Callithrix jacchus: one gene and its partner. Each later gene encodes a partner of the first gene's protein in a complex. Links are inferred from orthologs where the notes say so. Each region holds a gene or a part of one and is shown on either strand. Other genes may lie near its edges. The genes, in order: PLEKHM1 and MAP1LC3C.

The links.
Region 2: the proteins of PLEKHM1 (region 1) and MAP1LC3C are in contact, whole or in part, in a crystal structure (PDB 5DPW), measured with the Homo sapiens proteins. The link is inferred for Callithrix jacchus from reciprocal best matches to the Homo sapiens genes PLEKHM1 and MAP1LC3C. Residues at the interface, in NP_055613.1 of Homo sapiens: Glu632, Asp633, Glu634, Trp635, Val636, Asn637, Val638, Gln639, Tyr640; in NP_001004343.1 of Homo sapiens: Phe13, Arg16, Lys17, Glu25, Ile29, Phe33, Lys36, Pro38, Asp54, Lys55, Thr56, Lys57, Phe58, Leu59, Val60, Pro61, Glu63, Leu64, Ile72, Arg76, Phe114.

Annotation. Positions count from the first base shown.
Region 1 is NC_133506.1:85,866,440-85,875,599, reverse strand, and holds the start of PLEKHM1 (pleckstrin homology domain-containing family M member 1), read left to right. Parts: upstream 1-3,435; 5' UTR 3,436-3,542; intron 3,543-8,588; 5' UTR 8,589-8,629; coding exon 8,630-8,677; intron 8,678-9,160. UniProt on the Homo sapiens protein: Acts as a multivalent adapter protein that regulates Rab7-dependent and HOPS complex-dependent fusion events in the endolysosomal system and couples autophagic and the endocytic trafficking pathways.
Region 2 is NC_133520.1:43,981,652-43,990,969, reverse strand, and holds MAP1LC3C (microtubule-associated protein 1 light chain 3 gamma), read right to left. Parts: upstream 5,745-9,318; 5' UTR 5,646-5,744; coding exon 5,588-5,645; intron 5,487-5,587; coding exon 5,431-5,486; intron 5,276-5,430; coding exon 5,169-5,275; intron 3,321-5,168; coding exon 3,122-3,320; 3' UTR 2,137-3,121; downstream 1-2,136.

The DNA of each region.
Region 1 (9,160 bases):
GGAGAGGTGGGGTCAAGTCCAAATTGTTGGACTCCATCCTAGAGTGACTCTTTTGGGTTAGTGTGAGGCTTAGGAATCTGCATTTTGGGCCCATCCCCAGGGCATTCTGATGCCTGCAGTTCTCATGTCTGGCTTTGAATAACTCTGGGTAGTACTTTAAATCTAAGCTGACAGGCCAGTGGGGTGTGAACTGTCCTTGCAAACGTTTTGAGCCCTTCCTGCGCTGACCTCCAACTATGCCTTCACAGTTTGTCTTCAGCCCCCCTTCCATTCTGGCCCTCTCCCCTTACCCTTTCCTTTCCTTTTTTTTTTTTTTTTTTTTTTTAAGACGGGGTCTTGCTCTGTCTCTTAGGCTATAGTGCAAAGGCGCAATCTCGGCTCACTGAAACTTCCACCTTCTGGATTCAAGCAATTCTCCTGCCTCAGCTTCCAAAGTAGCTGGGATTACAGGCGCCCATCACTACACCCGAATAATTTTTGTCTTTTTAGTAGAGATGGGGTTTTACCATGTTAGGCTGGTCTCGAACTCCTCACCTCAGGTGATCCACCCACCTTGGCCTCCCAAAGTGCTGGGATTACAGGCATGAGTCACTGCGCCTGGCCACCCTTTCCTTTTTCACTTTCTTTTTTCTTCTTCTTTTTTTTTTTTTTTTGAGAAAGGATCTCACTCTGTTACCCAGGCTGGAGTGTAGTGGCATGATCTTGGCTCACTGCAACCTCTGCCCCCCTGGTTCAAGCAATTCTCCCAAGTAGCTGGGACTGCAGGCACATGCCACCATGCCTGGCTAATTTTAGTATTTTTAGTAGAGATGAGGTTTCACCATGTTGATTAGGCTGGCATCAAACTTCTGACATCAAGTGATCCGCCTGTCTCGGCCTCCCAAAGTGCTGGGATTAGAGGTGTAAACCACCACGCCCAGCCTCCTTTTTCACTTCCTGCCTTCCTCCCCACCTCTGGGTGCACCCTCCTCTGAACTCAACCTGCATTCCTTTCTGCTGGCCACTTACCAGCCAGTCCCTTCATCTGCAATGCGCTTTACTCACCTAGAAAGCTCACATCAAAAGTTGCCTCTTTCAGGATATCTCTCAAATTCTCCTCTCTGGTCCTTTGGCCCTTTGCAGGTACCCTTTTTCTTGTGCAAGTCACATGATAATGTGAGGGTTTTTTTGTTTTTTTTTTTTCCCTATCTGGAGCTTGCCTGGTGGACTCACGGTCCATTTGTGGAAATACGCATTTCCCTCTCCTCCACTTCCCCTCCATGATCCATGCTTCATGCAGCCTCTCCAAGGCATGCAGAACAAGCTAAGAAGAGGTAAATAAGCCTGCAGACGTCTCTTTTTTTTTGAGATGGAATCTTGCTCTGTTGCTCAGGCTAGAGTGCAATGGTATAATCTCAGCTGACTGCAACCTCTGCCTCCGGGTTGAAGCAATTCTCAGCCTCAGCCTCCCGAGAAGCTGGGATTACAGCATGTGCCACCATGTCTGGCTAATTTTTTGTATTTTTAGTAGAGATGGGGGTTTCACCATCTTGGCCAGGCTGATCTTGAACTCCTAACCTTGTGATCTGCCCACCTCGGCCTCCCAAAGTGCTGGGATTACAGGCATGAGTCACCCTGCCTAGCTGCCTGCAGACCTTACAAAGAAGTGAGGTGGCTTGGGAAGTAAGAGAAGACCAGGAGATAGGGGCTCCTAAAAAGCAGGCAAGAGATTACCGAGGGGTCCCCACAGCTCTAGCACATAGCAGCTCCACAAAAATGTGGTGGAATTACTGAGGGACATTATGTGCTTGATGGGGGACAGCAAATGCTTGTGAAGCCACCAAGAATCATGCTGTGCCAGTTGTGACCAGATATACTATCCTTTTGCCAAGGTAAAAGGACTTCCTTACTGAATCCCTTACTTCCCACTTTGTTTAAAACGAGTTTGACACCAAGAGAATAGTTTGTCTCTATGTCCTTATTTCTAGTCTTCCTGCTCAGCCGTGAGCTGTAATAAACACCCTCAGACCCATCTAGCCTAAAATTGAGGAGGGGAGGTTCTCACTCCTGGAGAGAGAATTACTGAAAGGGTGGTCCTCATACAGTCTGGGGTCATATCCCCAAGGGCTGGTTTTATATTTGAAAGCAGGCAGTGGGACTCTGACCTTTGCAGAGATAGGAGGGACACCCTCCTACCCAGAGAGGCCAAAAGAGCACAGGACGGCCAGGCCGAGGGCAGTGAAGCTTTCGTCCAAGAACTGGCCCGTTTCCCAGCCACCGCTGTGCCTATTTAGGACTCGTATGTAACAGTACTTCTCCTCACCCACATTCAGGACCCAGGCTCCCAACTGACCAAAGCCTGCAAGTGTAAGTGTCCAGAGTATGGGTCCCTGACAACATCCCCTGCCCTGCTCTTCACTAGCTGTGGTCACTACTTAGGACATTTTGTTCCAAGTTCATCTGAAAGAGAAATGTCACTTCTAGGATAGAAAGAAGACAGACAGGCCAGGCATGGTGGTTCACGCCAAAATCCCAGCACTTTGGGAGGCCAAGGCAGGAGCACTGCCTGAGGCCAGGAGTTGGAGACCAGGCTAGGCAACACTGTGAGAAACACTGTGAGATCCCTATCTCCCTGACACACACACACACACACACACACACACACACAGACACACACACACACTAGCTGAGCGTGGTGGTGCATGTCTGTAGTTCCAGCTACTTGAGGCTGAAGTGGGAGAACCCTTTAGCCTGTGAGGTCGAGGGTGTGGTGAGCCGTGATGGTGCCACTGCACTCCAGTCTGGGCGACAGAGACCCTGTCTCAAAAACAAAAACAGAAAGGAAGAGAGAAATTCTCTACATGGCTAGAAGAGAATAACCGGGCCCCTAAGCTTCGCGCCACGCGTGGCTAAAGGGAGAGTTAAACACAGGAGAGTGCCCAAGGGGACTTCAAGGCGTTCCCTTGGGATAAGGTGTGCTTAAAACAGCTATGTTTTTCCTGAAAGCGCAAGGCGGTGGCTCCGCCCCAAGGGCTGCACTGCTGCCCTCGGGCAGGCAAAGCTAGGACTGGCATTATTAGTCCCACTCACACATCGGAACTCTTCAACTGAGGGATGCGAAGTGACAGCCCCAATATTGCACAGATGGTGCTGAGGCCAAGCGAGGTCAGGTACCCAGAAGCCAGGATCTAGTCTGACGCAGACCTGCGGGAGGCAAGCGGTACGGAGGCGTTCCTCCTGGCACCGGTGCCTTCGCCTCTCTGCGCCCGGCCGGCGCCCCCGGGTCCGGAGCCTCCCAGACCAAGAATCTGCTCGGTGGTTCGGCTCCCACGGACTTCCGAGAGCAGCTGGCCCCGCCCCAGGACTCCTTCGGGCCCCGCGATTGGCAGCACGGGCCGAGGGCGGGGCTTGGGCGGGTCCGGAGCGCCGAGCGAGCGTGATGGCGTCAGGAGCCGCGGGCGCCGCTTCCTGTTGTCAGTGGCCGAGAGGCCGCATCCTCTGCTCCGAGGCTGAGGGGCTGCTGCAACCGGGAGCGCCCCCCGCCTCGCTCCCTTTTCTGTTTGGTGAGTTAGGGGGTCAAGAGGCGAGAAGGGCGGCGGAGGGGCGGCGGGGCCGAGGCGCGAATGGGCGGGTGGGCCTCCCGCTCCCCCCGCGATCCTCAGCCCTGGTTGCCCTGAGACTGCCCGGCTTCAGAGCCCTCAGCCCTGCCCAGCCCGCGCCCTCCCGGCTCCCACCCAGCCTTCCCCCCGCACCGCCGCTGCGCGCCCTTCCGCCCGGTCTGTTCCACCCCAAGCCCGCTCCCGCATCCCCTCACCAGCGGTCTTGCGTAAATGCAGCTTCACTAGTGACCCCACTTTACCCCAGTTCCAACCCCGATCTCGGCCACGTCCTTTCGCCTCTCCCTGACACACCTCGTCCTCTCTCCCGACCCCTCTGGTAACCCCGGTGCTCCGCGCTCACCTCCCCGAGACCCAGTATTCGGGTTTCCCCTTTTCTGGCTCAGCTTTCTTATCCCAGTCACCCGCATCACCTGTCCAGCTCCCCAAGATCTGCTGATCCCAAACACTCTACCTCTGCCCCTTCTCATCTAAGGCCCCTCCCCCAAAGTAGGTGCCCTGTTGAGCTCACCGCTTTCTTCTGGATAACTCTATCTCAGCCTTATTCCAAGTCTTAACTGTGTCTTCTCGTCTTAGTCTCCTAGCCCACTGTATACTTCCTTTCCGACTCTTGCCGTCCTGAGGACATCAATCCCTAAGTCTTTGCTAAACTGTCCTGAACTCTTGCTGCCTCCTTTCTTACCACCCTCACCCAATCTGGTTAAAAATGACATCTCCATGTCCTTTCACCCTCCCTGACTCCACCGCAGCTCTTCACCCCAACTCTGCGTCCATTCCTTTCCTCGACCCAACTCCCATTCAATCTGAGAACCTGGTGCAGAGTCTCCTGCCAACTCCACCAACAGCCTCAACAGCCAAATGTAGGTGCTCACTCAGACTGGCAGTTAGAGACTGAGCAGTGTGATTGGTGGGCCTAGGGCCTCAGGTGGTAAATGAGGTTGGAGGAGCAGTGGGCTCTCCCCAAATAGTGGATTGGGCCAGAAGGTTTTCCTAGCGTTTGGTCTCCTGTACCTGTCCGCAGCAACTGTGTTTCTGGCATTCATATTAAATGACTTGTGCTGGCTGCTGGAATGGTAGGTATCATTCAAACACCTGGAAGGTGAGAGATGGCCACTCACTCAGCTCACGTAGCATAGGATGATGGAAGTTATCACTTCCTTCTAGCTGCTGTTCTGGCCCTGGAGAGCCTCTGGGAGGTTTTTTAAGGGCCCTAAAGAACATTGTCTCTGCTGTGGTCACAGAACATTGTCCGTGTTCCTTTTTCTGGTGCTTGTAAGGGCCTCTCCCTGCCAGAGCTGATGGCAGATCAATCCTGATGCTGAATTCAGGGGACACGATGGATGCCAGAGGCAGTGTTACCTGTTGTGAAGAGTATAGGCGAGTAGGTCCTGGGGAGACTGAGGCCTAGGAGGTACAGAGGCTCTTGAATCGCCTTCTTTTCTTGCAAGTGCTGGCTCATTGACTTTTGGCCATTTGGATTCCATGAACACAGGGAACCACATTATCTCAGAGTAGCTGAGGCAGAAGAGTATCTCAGAGGCACCCAAGTCCCATGCTCAGCATTTATAGTTTCCTGAGGGCTTTTGGGGACACATTTTCTCTGAATCCTGAGGACCCAGCATGAGATGGGTGGGCCATTTGACCACAGTTTTAAAGGGTCCTAAAGAACATTGTCTCTGCTTGCCGTTTATAGTCTTACTCCTTTGAAAACGAAATGCTGTTTACCTTCAATGTCCTTCTATTCATATGCAGGTTATTTAAGTTGTTTTCAGCCTTATTGGCAGCTTGGCTTAATGGAAGGAGGTCCACAGTGGCCCCAGCACTTAAGAGTTACATACCCCAACTTCCCAGTGTGTGAAATGGAGATACTTGCCCTGTGCCTTGTTTTTATTTTATTAATTGGTTCATTCAACAGCTTATTTTTTGAGCACCAGTGTGTGCCAAGCACTGTTCTAGGTACAGTGGTGACTGGGTCAGGCAACTTTCCTGTTTTCATTCATTTAGAGTTTGGTCCTTGTTAGAATCCTCTGGGATATGGGACAAGAATATAGGGAAGATAGGTGTTATTGGATGGAAGGAAGGAGGGAGGAAAGAAAGATTCCCAGTGTTCACTGACTCCAGTTCTGCCCTCATCCACTAGCCCTGAGTCTGGGAATCACAAGCTACAAGTTTCTCACCCTTCATCTGGTATTTAATTGCTTCAAAGCTCCAACCCCCCACCATTCCATCCATCACAGAAATCCAGCTTTCCTCAGGTGGACAGAGTTGCTGTTTCCTCAGTCAGCACTCACATGCCTGAAGGATCAGCTGCCTTTCTGAATCAGAAGATAACTTTGTCATTCTTTTCCAATGGAAAAAACATGACTCATCAATTGGTACAGCAGCTGGGTGGCTTAAAGCCAGGCTGTGGCTCTGAACAGCCAGGTACACAATTCAGTGGTGAGAAGGCAGTGGGGAATGGCTGAGAAGTCCCTCAAGAGAAGAGGCTGCTGTTCACTGATAGTTGAGTGTTTTGAGAGTGGTGAAGCCAGGTTATCTTTCTTCTTTTAATGTAAGTCTCATCTAAGTAATTCTCTTTTTTTCTTCCTTGATATCTGTAGGAAGTGAAATTGGACATATAGAGAAGGCCAGGCAGTGTAATGAAGGAAACCAACTGGAACTGTTCCTTCCTGTGTTGAAACATTGAAGAAAGTATAGCTCTGAGGCTTTGGGAGCATTGGTAGGACCTGGGTTCGGCTGGTTGGGGCTATAAATCTGATCGGCAGAACTGTTTCTTGTTGGTTTTAGACCTTCTGTGATAAAATGGAGCTTCCAAGTACCTCTGAAGAGGAAGTTACAGCTTGCCTGAAATTCTCTGAGCCAAAGACCTGAGGCCGTTTAGTCCAGGGAAAGATGCAAGAGTTGGGATGAAGAAACCAGAGAGTTCTGTCCCTTACCTGAGGCTCATTGCTACTGAACCTCAGTTTTGCCCATGACCCATGACATAGTCCTGGGAGGTCCTGAGAACAGGTGCCCAGGGTGATTGGGTTACAGCTTGCTTTTATCCAAGGTACTGGCAGAAGTTACAGGCAAAGACATAAATTAGTACATGTAAGGTATACATTGATAGGGGCAAGGTAAGGTGAGTTAAAAGATTTCCTGATTGGCAATTGGTTGAAAGAGTTAAACTTTGCCTAAGGAGTTGAAGTCAACGGAGAGAAATGCTTGGAGTTAAGATAAGGTGGGTTGTGGAAGCCAAGGTGTAGATGAAGCCTTCAGGTAACAGGCTCCAGAGAAAATAGACAGTACGTGTATTTTATCAGACCCTAAAAGGTGTGGGACTCTTAGTTAAATCTCTCCTAGATCAGTAAAAGGCCTAGAAAGGTAAGGGAATCTCTGCAGGATATAAATTTTCCCCACAAGAGGTGGCTTTGCAGGGCCATTCCAAAATATGTCAAATACACATATTTGGGGGTAAAATACTTTGATTTCCTTTAGGGCCAGTTATCTCTCATGTGATGTTAGACCAGAGTCAGGTTGGAGTTGGTATCTTCATTGCTAAGGGTCTGTCCTGTGAGTCTTAGGATTCCAATGCTGGTCAGTTGTGTCTAAGCTCCAGAAGGGAGAGGCTATCATGAGGCATGGCCCATGCCCCACTTCCTGTCATGGCCTGAACTAAGTTTTTAAGTTTTTTCAAAATCCCTTTGGCCAAGAGGGAATCCATTCAGGCAGTTGGGGGATGTAGAATTTTATTTTTGGTTTACAGCACTGACTCAGGAATTGGGGTTATTCTAGGGCTGAGTTGGCTTCCTCCTGGGGGCTGGTGGTGGAGTCGGGCCACTTATCAGCCCTGGGACCTCAGGAACTTCCTTAACCTGGGTCAGTTGTCTTTCTGTATCTGTCAGGTGGAGATAATAAAACAGCACTTCTAGGGTGTTTAGGAGGGATATCAATTAGCAATATAAGTAAAGAGAGCCTTGGTTTTGTTAACTTCTTTGTGCCATTATTTTTTGAGAGCCCAGACAGCCATCCCTTTCCTGGTGTTCCCCTGATGCTCAGCCAGGCATTCGCTAGAGATTTGTTAAGATGTGAATGTGCCTGCCTAGCCTAGGTCTGCCCAAGTTGCTGGGATGGGGCCACCAGCCAGCAGCCCCCTCAGGCTCAGGCCAAAGTCCTCACCCCACCCCACCCATTCCCAGGGGAAATCCGGCAGCCCTGAGGGATTGAACCACTCACTGACTTCAGCTCTTCCTGCATATTCATTTGGACGTGGCATTCTTGGTCTGTAGATGTAGGTGGTCATATCCACTGGGATGACAGACACCAGGTATAGGTACTCATCAGGCCCTGTGACAGGCGTTTTACACATTCTCCATCTAAGAGGTCTGCGCATGCCTACCTGGTTAGTGGCAGATTGCAATGAGACCTCGTGGTTGTTGCGATTAGACGTGCCTCTGTATGCTACTCAAGCCAGACCCTTGAAGCCTAAAGGAGAAGAAGTGTAGCAAGGGAGCCCTTTCTTTTCAAAGCCATTCCAGTTGTACTTTTTACTGCTGAGCTGGCAGACATTGGACTGGGACAAGCGTGAGGGGTGGGGGCAGGGTGTTGCAGGACCCAGCCCCTGAATGTAACTTGTAAGCCCCTGCTTCCTGGTCCCAGTGGGTTCCTTCCGCCTTCAGCTGCATCCTCCGCTTTGAACCCACAGTTCTGTATCTGCATCAGCCTGTCGTTCCCTGCTTACAGGTTTCGATCCTACAGGGCCCTGGCTTTCCGGGCAGCATTTGATGTGAATTGCCTTTACCACTTACTTCTTGGGGTGGACCCACCTCTGGCACCCAGGACTCCTTGCCTCCCAAGGACTGAGCCCTCTGGGCTCTCCTTCCTTCAAATCCACTCTCAGTTTTTACTTTTGTGTTGAGTGAGAGGGGCTGACCTCCTACTGCTTGCTGGGAATGGACTCTGCCTGGTGGGGAGCTGGCTGCCCATTCATCTGGCTGCCATCTGTCTCTTCAGGTGTTATGTGATTCTCCGAGGGAGCAGTTCTGTGAGTGGAGATGCTCTCAGTGGTGGAGAATGGACTGGACCCCCGGGCTGCCATCCCGGTAGGTGGGCAAAAGAGGATTAAGGGTGGGGAAGGGCTGCAGGGGACAGTCATTTCTTTGGCTTGGCTCACTTCGAAATGAATAGGCACTGCCCTGCAAGAGAGGCCAGGTAGAGGAAAAAGTTACAACACAAGCAGGCTCTGAGGAGACCCTGTCCTTTCTAGATTACCTTATTGGTGGTAAGATGGGAATTTACAAAAAGCAGTGGGAATTTAAGATCAGTTACCTGAAGACCAAGGATTTCCATTCAGCCCTGTGCCCTTAGGCCATGATTTGGTCACAGGCTGGTCAGTGCATTGAATTAGGTGGGAAACAGATATTCCCAGGCACTAGTTTGTTGTTTCAGTAATGGGGGTAAGTTGGTTAACTTACATGTATCTGAACATTTACCGTGTTCTAGGATTTTCTAAATGTAATTATTTGTGATCAGTTCACCAGAGCCCCCTAGGACTGTCTCTTGGAGAACCCACTAGGATGGCTGTC
Region 2 (9,318 bases), on another chromosome or scaffold:
CTACGAGCCGCGATTGCACCACTGCACTCCAGCCTGGGAGACACAGCGAGACTCTATCTCAAAAAAAACAAACAAAGCAAAAAAGGTTCAGTCATCTCTGATGGTGTCATCAAGGTGTTTAATGACACGAAGCTGTGTTAAGTCTTTGACACCAGAGAAGGTGAAGAAGCACAAGAAGGCAGTGCTCTTCTGCGTGAGCGAGGATGAGAAAACCATCATCCCCCAGGACGGCGGTGAGATCCTGGTGGGTGACACGTGGGCCAGACCCTGCATGACCCCTCCACCACTTTTATCAAGATGCTGCCAGATTAGGACTGCCGCTATGCCCTCTATGAGGCAATCTACGAGAGCAGGGAGAGCAAGAAGGAGGACCTGGTATTTATATTCCGGGCCTCTGAGTCTGCACCCCTTATGAGCAAAATGATCTATGCCAGCTCCAAAAATGCCATCATGAAGCTGACAGGGATCAAGCATGCATTACAAGCAGACTGCTACGAGGAGGTCAAGGCCCACTGCATCCTAGCAGAGAGGCTAGGGGAGGCAGTGCCATCATCTCCCTGGAAGCACGCCTTTATGAGCCCCTTCTGGCCCCCTGCCTGGAGCATCTGGCAGCCCCACACCTGCCCTCAGGGGTTGCAGCCTGCCCCCTTCCTGCCAGACTGGAGGGGCTGGGGGCATCCCAGTAGGGGAAGGGCAATCCCTTCACCCGGTTACCAAACAGACCCCCCTACTCCCTGGATTTTCCTCCCTTCAGTCCTGGCAGTTCCAGCCTTCCTAAACTGCTTTAGATCTTCTGATTCCTCTTGGGTTGAAGCAGACCAAGCTCCCTCCAGGTACCCCAGTTGTGAGGAGGCCTGTTTTTTTCTTTTTTTAACAACACCCTACTCCCTCCCTGTTCCTCCCCCTTCCCATGCTGTTAACTTTTTTTTGGAGACAGAGTCTCGTTCTGTTGCTCAGGCCGGAGTGCGGTGTGTGATCTCAGCTCACTGCAACCTCCGCTTCCCAGGTTCAAGCGATTCTCCTGCCTGAGCCTCTCCAGTAGCTGGAACTATAGGCATGCACTGTCACAGCCGGCCAAGTTTTTGTATTTTAGTAGAGTTGGGGTTTCACAATGTATCCCAGGCTGATCTGGAACTCTTGAGCTCAGGTAATCTGCCTGCGTCGGCCTCCCAAAGTGCTAGGATTACAGGCGTGAGCCACTGCACCCGGCCCCATGCTGCCAACTTCTAACCACAATAGTGACTCTATGCTTGTCTAGTTTTGTGTATAAATGGAATGTTGTGGAGATGACGCCTCCTTGCCAGCTCGTTCCTCACCCTTTTCCCCTGGTCACAGCCACTCATGGAAGCAAAACCAGTAAGGAACCTACGATTAAAAAATTTAAAAAGCCAGGTGTGGTGGCTCATGCCTGTAACCCCAGCACTTTGCAAGGTCCAGGTGGGCGGATCACCTGAGGTCAGGTGTTCAAGACCAGCCTGACTAACATGGAGAAACCTCATCTCTAGTAAAAATACAAAATTAACTGGGCGTGGTGGCAAATACCTGTAATCCCAGCTACTCGGGAGGCTGAGGCAGGAGAATCACTTGAACCTGGGAGGTGGGGGTTGCAGTCAGCCGAGATCCCGCCACTGCACTCCAGCCTCAGCACCAGGAGTGAAACTTTGTCTCAAAAAACAAAACAAAACAAAGCCAAAAAATTAAAAAAAACCATGACAATAATAAAAAGGCTCATTAATGGAGGAAAAAAATTCCCTTCTAAGGAGAAGCTTATTCGCCATTTTCATGTCTCCTTACCTACTCCTCAGGATTATTCGCCATTCTCTGTACCTGCAGCCTGTGGAGAGGCATGATCGGTGACTGCGCCTGCACTCCTTGACTCCGCCTCTGCATACGGTGACTCAGCTAACCAGCCCAGTGAGTGCCCTGTGTTCACCTTTGTTCCCGGAGGCACTGCGGTGGGAACTATCCCCAGTGCCCTCCTGACTTGTGAGAATTAATGCATCCCCTCGCTACATCCTCCGTGGTGGTAGTCAGTGGACGTCACCCACCAAGCGATCACACCCACCCATTGTGTGGGCAACTGTAGCAGTAGTTAGCCATAGAGAGTTGTGGTAAGAAGCCGAAGAATAAAGCTCCTTTAAAATAAAGAATGTTTATTTCAGAGTAAAGCTTGGCACCTAGTAAACATGTGCATTTAAATGACTATGTTGAGAAGTTACAGCTTTGGCATAAATATGTCTGGTATAGCAGGACAAAAAGAGAAAATAACCACATAGAGTGAACGCTGGGGAAACAGGATAATCTCTCTAATGACACAGGAGAGGGCGCCTCCAGGTGAGCTTATCATGGGTCACACTGGCTTCATTGGGTTCCACAGAGGCAGTCTACAGGCTGGAGGTTCTCTAGGCCTGAGCCCTGCAGGGCATCCCTGCCTACATGCAGGGAGTGAAATCCACTCCCCAATGGCCCTCCCACATATAGCACAGAAGACACTTGAAAAATATTATCTCCAGCTCATCACACAAAGCCATCACACAAGCCAACCATTTCTTATTTAGAATAGAGTTATATGGCTGGATGCAGTGGCTCACACCTGTAATCTCAGCACTTTGGGAGGCAGAGGTGGGTGGATCACCTGTGGGCAGGAGTTTGAGACCAGCCTGGCCAATGTGGTGAAACCTCGTCTCTACTAAAATTACAAAAATTGGCCTGGTGTGGTGGCATGCACTTGTTATCCCAGCTACTCAGGAGGCTGAGGCAGGAGAATCCCTTGAACCCAGGAGGCAGAGGCTGTGGTGAGCCAAGATCGTGCCACTGTACTCCAGCCTGGGCAACAGAGCAAGAACCTGTCTCAAAAAAAAAAGAGTTATAATTACAAAACTTTCAAGAGCAGCCCACATTTTTCTTAGAAGAACACAAGAGCATGGAGCACAAAAACTAAACTAGGAAGAGCCACCACTCTGCTGCCAATAGCTGGACCTGATCACTCCCAGCATCCCTGCTTCTCAGACTCCTCCATATACATACAGGAGAAATCCAATCCCTTCTGCCAGCGGCTGATACGTCTGTCAGAGCACCTGTTCTTCCCCACATGGGCTAGAGAGGATTGCAGGGTCTGTCCTCAAGGCTGCTCCCATCCCAGGGGGGCTGATGACTCCAGGCAGCCAAACGTCTCCTGGGAGGCGTAGGTCTTGTACACGAAGCCGTCCTCATCCTTGTAGTCCCTGTAGATCTCTGCCATGGTTGCACTCATGCTGACCAGGTTCTTGTTGTTCACCAGCAAGTAAAAGGCTTCTGTGTCTCTCAGGACCATGCGGCTCCTGGGGTGGGCAGGAGGGTGGTGAGGGGGTGACCTGTGAGGCAGCCCAGGGATCTGCAGCATCATGACGCTCAAGAAGAGGGAATTGCTCCCTCCTTCTTCCCTGAGATTTAGAAACTACAAGGAGTCGTAGTTGGGTCAAAAGGGTGAGGTCATTCCATGGATGAAATATGCCAAAACACGACGAGGAAACACAGCAGGGAAAGATGACGACACAAACCTGCTAAGCGCGCTGGACAGGCGCCGTGGCTCAGGCCTGTCATCCCAGCACTTTGGGAGGCTGAGGCGGGGGAATCACAAGGTCAGGAGTTCAAGTCCAGCTTCGCCAAGACGGTGAAACCCCGTCTCTACTAAAAATACAAAAGTTAGCCGGGCGTGGTGGTGGGCACCTGTAAGCTACTTGGGAGGCTGAGGCAGAGAATTGTCTGAACCCAGGAGGCAGAAGTTGCAGTGAGCGGAGATCACACCACTGCACTCCAGCCTGGGTGGCAGAGCCAGACGCCATCTCAAAAAAAAAAAAAAAAAAAAAAGTTAAGTAAATAACTTCTGTTTGCTATGAAATTAAAGCTGTTTCCCCAGGGGTACAAAAGTGATACATAGTCTCTCTGGCATCTCACTTTTTTTTTGAGATGGAATTTCACTCACTCTGTTGCCCATGCTGGAGTGCCATGGTGTGATCTCAGCTCACTGTAACCTCCACCACCCAGGTTGAAGCGATTCTCCTGTCTTATCCTCCCAAGTAGGTGGGATTACAGCCGTGTGCCACCACATTCAGCTAGTTTTTGCATTTTTAGAAGATACGGAGTTTCACCATGTTGGCCAGACTGGTCTTGAACTCCTGATGTCAGGTGATTCACCTGCCTTGGCCTCCCAAAGTGCTGGGATTACAGGCTCGAGACACTGCGCCCGGCCTGGCATGTCACTGTTGAACAGCCTAGGATGACACTTGGAAGGGATCTCCTGCCTTGAAGTGTGCCCTTTCCTTCCTGTGTTATTTCTGCGTTCACATCAAGGCGATAGGAAGGCAGCCATATTTAGTTGAACACGCTTCAAATGCCAAGGGCAATCTGAGTGCCCAGTTATCCCGGAGCAGATGGCAGTGTGAAAACGTAGGTGCCTAGGTGAAGGCTTGGCCTCACTTTAAGCACACTTCCTCCAGGTGCTCTAATTGGTGAAGCGGGCACAGCCCACCCATTCCTATCTTAGAGCTTTGAGCCTTCAGGTGGGCTATGTCCATGCAGCAGTGGGAGATGGGAGTAACTAGAATCCAATTCATTTTACACCCAGATAACTCCTCCCCAAATAACCCCAAAGGTTTGGTCACTGACAATTATACAGCCATCTTTGTGTAAAATAAAATAGAGTAATTTTTTCTTTCTTTCTTTTTTTTTTTGAGATGGAGTTTTACTCTTGTTGCCCAGGCTGGAGTGCAACGGTGCAATCTCAGCTCACTGCAACCTCTGCCTCCCAGGTTCAAGCGATTCTCCTGCCTCAGCCTCTTGAGCAGCTGGCATTACAGGCGTGCACCCCCACACCCAGCTAATTTTTGTATTTCTAGTAGAGTCAGGGTTTCACCATGTTGGCTGGGCTGTTTTCGAATTCGTAACCTCAGCCTCCCAAAGTGCTGGGATTACAGGCATGAGTCGGTGCACCCGGATTTAAAATAGAATTATTCTAAGAGCATCTTTTCAGGGCACTAGTGAATCTGAAAGATGACTTCAAAAAAATCTCTTTCCTCTCTTTCCCTGACATACCCCCATCCCCAAAATAAAACCACCTAACGAAGGAAACAGAAGAGCCCCCACACACCCCCGACACCTTCCTCCCGGGCACGCTCTGCGCCACCTACCGGATGATGCTGAGGGACTGGGTCATGGTCAGCTCCTGCGGGACCAGGAACTTGGTTTTGTCCAGCCGGGGCAGGAACTTCTCCCTGGGGTAGCGCTCCACTATCACCTGTCAAGAGCGTCAGTCCTTAAGAATGTGACTCAGAGTTCTCTGAGTCTTAGGATCTTGGAACAGAGAGAGGGAAGTTGTTGGCTGGTCTTGGTTTTTTCAAAGGACAGGTTCAGAACCCCGCCCCCCACAAGGGAAGTACAATGATGTCTTACCGGGATCTTGTTTGGGAACTTTGCCCAGATTCCAGCAACTTCCTCTTGTCTGATTGCTGTGAATATTTCAAGCACAAGAGAATAAGCAAACATCAAGAGAAAGCCAGATCCTCTCCTCTCTTTCGAGTAACCCAGAAAGGTACCCCAAGAAATTTACCCAAGCTTTTCCTCTGCTTGAAAGGTCTGACGCTTGGGATTTTCTGTGGAGGCGGCATTTCACTCAACAGCTTTGTCTGTTTTAAGAAAGAAAAGAAAAGAAGAACAAAAGTACTGCAACCAGGAACCTAATTCATTCCTCCAGCTGCTTCCAAACTGCCTGCAGGAGCCTGCAGGGGGCCCTTATGTAGAGCTGAGTGACATCAGGCCTCTGCTCACCCGCCTCCCCCTCCCCGAGCAGCACGAGGTCAGTTCTGGTGGAAATGGAATCGCCACCTACTTGCTGGTCAGAGAAAAGCCACTTTATTCATGACCAGTTCAAGATGTTTCTTTGCAAAAGAAATTAGGGTTTGTAATAAAATCATTGGCTAGGCAGCGGACCGTGGAGACGTAAAACTGCCTTATGCTGGCGACGTTTCTGTACTTCAGTAGAGAACCACCTTGAGAGGAGTCCAAGATGGATCCACCTCAGCCTGAAGTGTGCTGTGTAATTCTCACCACAGTCCGTGCCCTTTTCACAGAAGGAAACCTATACTAAGAAAGGTGAAGTGAGGCCGGGCGCAGTGGCTCACACCTGTAATCCCAGCACTTTGGGAGGCTGAGGCAGGCAGATCAGGAGGTCAGGAGTTCGAGACCAGTCTGGCCAACATAGTGAAACTCTGTCTCTACTAAAAATACAAAAATTAGCTGGGCATGGTGGTGAGCACCTGTCATCCCAGCTACTTGGGAGGCTGAGGCAGGAGAATCGCCTGAACCTGGGAGGTGGAGGTTGTGATTAGTCAAGATTGCACCACTGCATTCTAGCTTGGGCAACAGCGTAAGACTTGCCTCAAAAAAAAAAAAAAAAAAAAAAAAAGGTGAAACGATTTGGCCGAGGGCACACAGCTACACAGATGCAGTTTGGATTAAAACCCATAGTTGTCGGCCAGGCGCAGTGCCTCATGCCTGTAATCCCAGCACTTGGGAGGCCAAGGTGTGTAGATCACCTGAGGTCAGGAGTTTGAGACCAGCCTGGCCAACATGCTGAAACCCCGTCTCTACTAAAAATACAAAAATTATCCAGGTGTGGTGGCAGGAGCCTATAATCCCAGCTAGTTGGGAGGCTGAGGCAGGAGAATCACTTGAACCCAGGAGGTGGAGGTTGCAGTGAGCTTAGGTCCAACCATTGCACTTCAGCCTGGGCAACAAGAATGGAACTCCATCTCAAACAAACGAACAAGCAAAAACCCGAACAAACCCAGAGTTGTCACAAGGAAGTCCAAGTACAACACTCTGGTAGGTATATTTTGTCATTTAGTTTTCTCTGGGATAAAAGAAGGAAGGAAGAACAACTGCCCCCAAGATCTCCCTTTTAGAGTTAAGAAAATGGGCCTCTAGTCATACATAGAGGGAACAAATGCCATTTCTCCTATATTCTCATAACAAAAATCAGAACCCTAGGCCTTTTGGGTTTTTATAGAGGTTTTAGTACATCCGCAAGATTGATTAAACCGTTGGCCACTGATAATCAATTTAACCTCCAACCCCTCTACCCTCCCCAGAGGCTGGAGGTGGGGCTAAAAATTCCAACCCTCTAATCTCACCTTTGTCTTTCTGGTGACCAGCCCCCATCCAGAAGCTATCCAGGGACTGCCAGCCATCGGTCAACTCATGAACGTTAAAAAAGACACTTATCACCAGGCCAGGTGACTCATGCCTGTAATCCCAGCACCTTAGGAAGCCAGGGCAGGTGGATCACCTGCAGTCAGGAGTCCCATATCTGCTTGGCCATCATGGTGAAACCCTGTCTTCACTAAAAATACAAAAACTAGCCAGGTGTGATAGTGGGCACCTATAGTCCCAGCTACTCAGGATCCTGAGGCAGGAGAATCATGAGAACCCAGGAGGTGGAGGTTGCAGTGAGCTGAGATTGCACCACTGCACTCCAGCCTGGGCAAGAGAGTGAGACTTCATCTCAAAAACAAAAACAAAGAAAATTCCAAGAATTTTAAGAAGTTGTATGCCAGGAAATTTGATGAAAACAAAATGTATTTCTCAATATCACAAGGCCTTAGAAATTAACCCCCTGTGCCAGGCATGGTGACTCACGCCTATAATCCTAGCATTTTGGCAGGCCAAGGCTGGGGGATCACCAGAGGTCAGGAGTTGGAGACCAGCCTGGCCAACATACCAAAACCTCATCTCAACTAAAAATACACGCAGGACGAGGTGGCTCACACTTGTAATCTTAGCACTTTGGGAGGCCGAGGTAGGTGGATCACAAGGTCAGGAGTTCAAGACCAGCCTGACCAACATGGTGAAACCCTGTCTCTACTAAAAATACAAACATTAATGGAGACCATCCTGGTCAACATGGTGAAACCCCGTCTCTACTAAAAATACAAAAAATTAGCCGGGCATGGTGGCGCGTGCCTGTAATTCCAGCTACTCAGGAGGCTGAGGCAGGAGAATTGCCTGAACCCAGGAGGCGGAGATTGCGTTGAGCCAAGATCGCGCCCTTGCACTCCAGCCTGGGTAACAAGAGCGAAACTCCGTCTCAAAAAAAAAAAAAAAAAAAAAATACAAACATTAGCTGGGTGTGGTGGTACATGCCTGTGATCCCAGCTACTCGGGAGACTGAGGCAGGAGAATCACTTGAACCCGGGGGGAGATGGAGGTTGCAGTGAGCTGAGATCACGCTATTGCACTCCAGCTTGGGCAACAAGAACAAAACTCCATCTCAAAATAAAAATAAAAAAATAAATGAATAAAAAACAAATAAAAATAATGGCATCACTGAAGAGATAAGTGGCCTCATCCTCTTTCCCTGTCTTAAAAAAGAGGTATGCTGTCAGGTGTGACTATTAAGCAGCAGGTATGCAGTGTTCTGCACTAAAGAACCTTTCTTTCTTTCTTTCTTTTTTTTTGACAGAGTTTCACTCCTGTTACCCAGGCTGGAGTGCAATGGCGTGATCTCGGCTTACCTCAACCTCCGCCTCCTGGGTTCAGGCAATTCTCCTGCCTCAGCCTCCTGAGTAGCTGGGACTACAGGCACGCGCCACCATGCCCAGCTAATTTTTGTATTTTTAGTAGAGACGGGGTTTCACCATGTTGACCAGGATGGTCTCGATCTCTTGACCTTGTGATCCACCTGTCTTGTCCTCCCAAAGTGCTGGGATTATAGGCATGAGCCACCGTGCCCGGCCTTTCTTTTTTTTTGAGATGGAGTCTCATTCTGTAGCCCAGGCTGGAGTGCAGTGGCACAATCTTGGCTCTCTGCAACCTCCGCCTCCTGGGTCCAGGTCAAGGAATTCTCCTACCTCAGCCTCCCCAGTAGCTGGGACTAAAGGCGTGAGCCACCACACACAGCTAATTTTTGTATTTTTAGTAGAGATGGGGTTTCACCATGTTGGCCAGGCTGGTCTCGGTCTCCTGACCTCATGATCCACTCGCCTCTGCCTCCCAAAGTGCTGGGATTCCAGGCATGAGTCACCATGCCCAGCCCAGATCATTTTTTTCTTTTCTTTTCTTTTTTTTTTTTTTTGAGACGGAATCTTGCTCTGTTACCAGGCTGGAGTGTAGTGGCATGATCTTGGCTCACTGCAATGTCTGCCTCCTGGGTTTGAGCAATTCCCTTGCCTCAGCCTTCCGAGTAGCTGGGATTATAGGCGCCTGCCACCAAGCCCAGCTAATTTTTGTATTTTTAGGAGAGATGGAGTTTCACCATATTGGCCAGGCTGATCTGGAACTCCT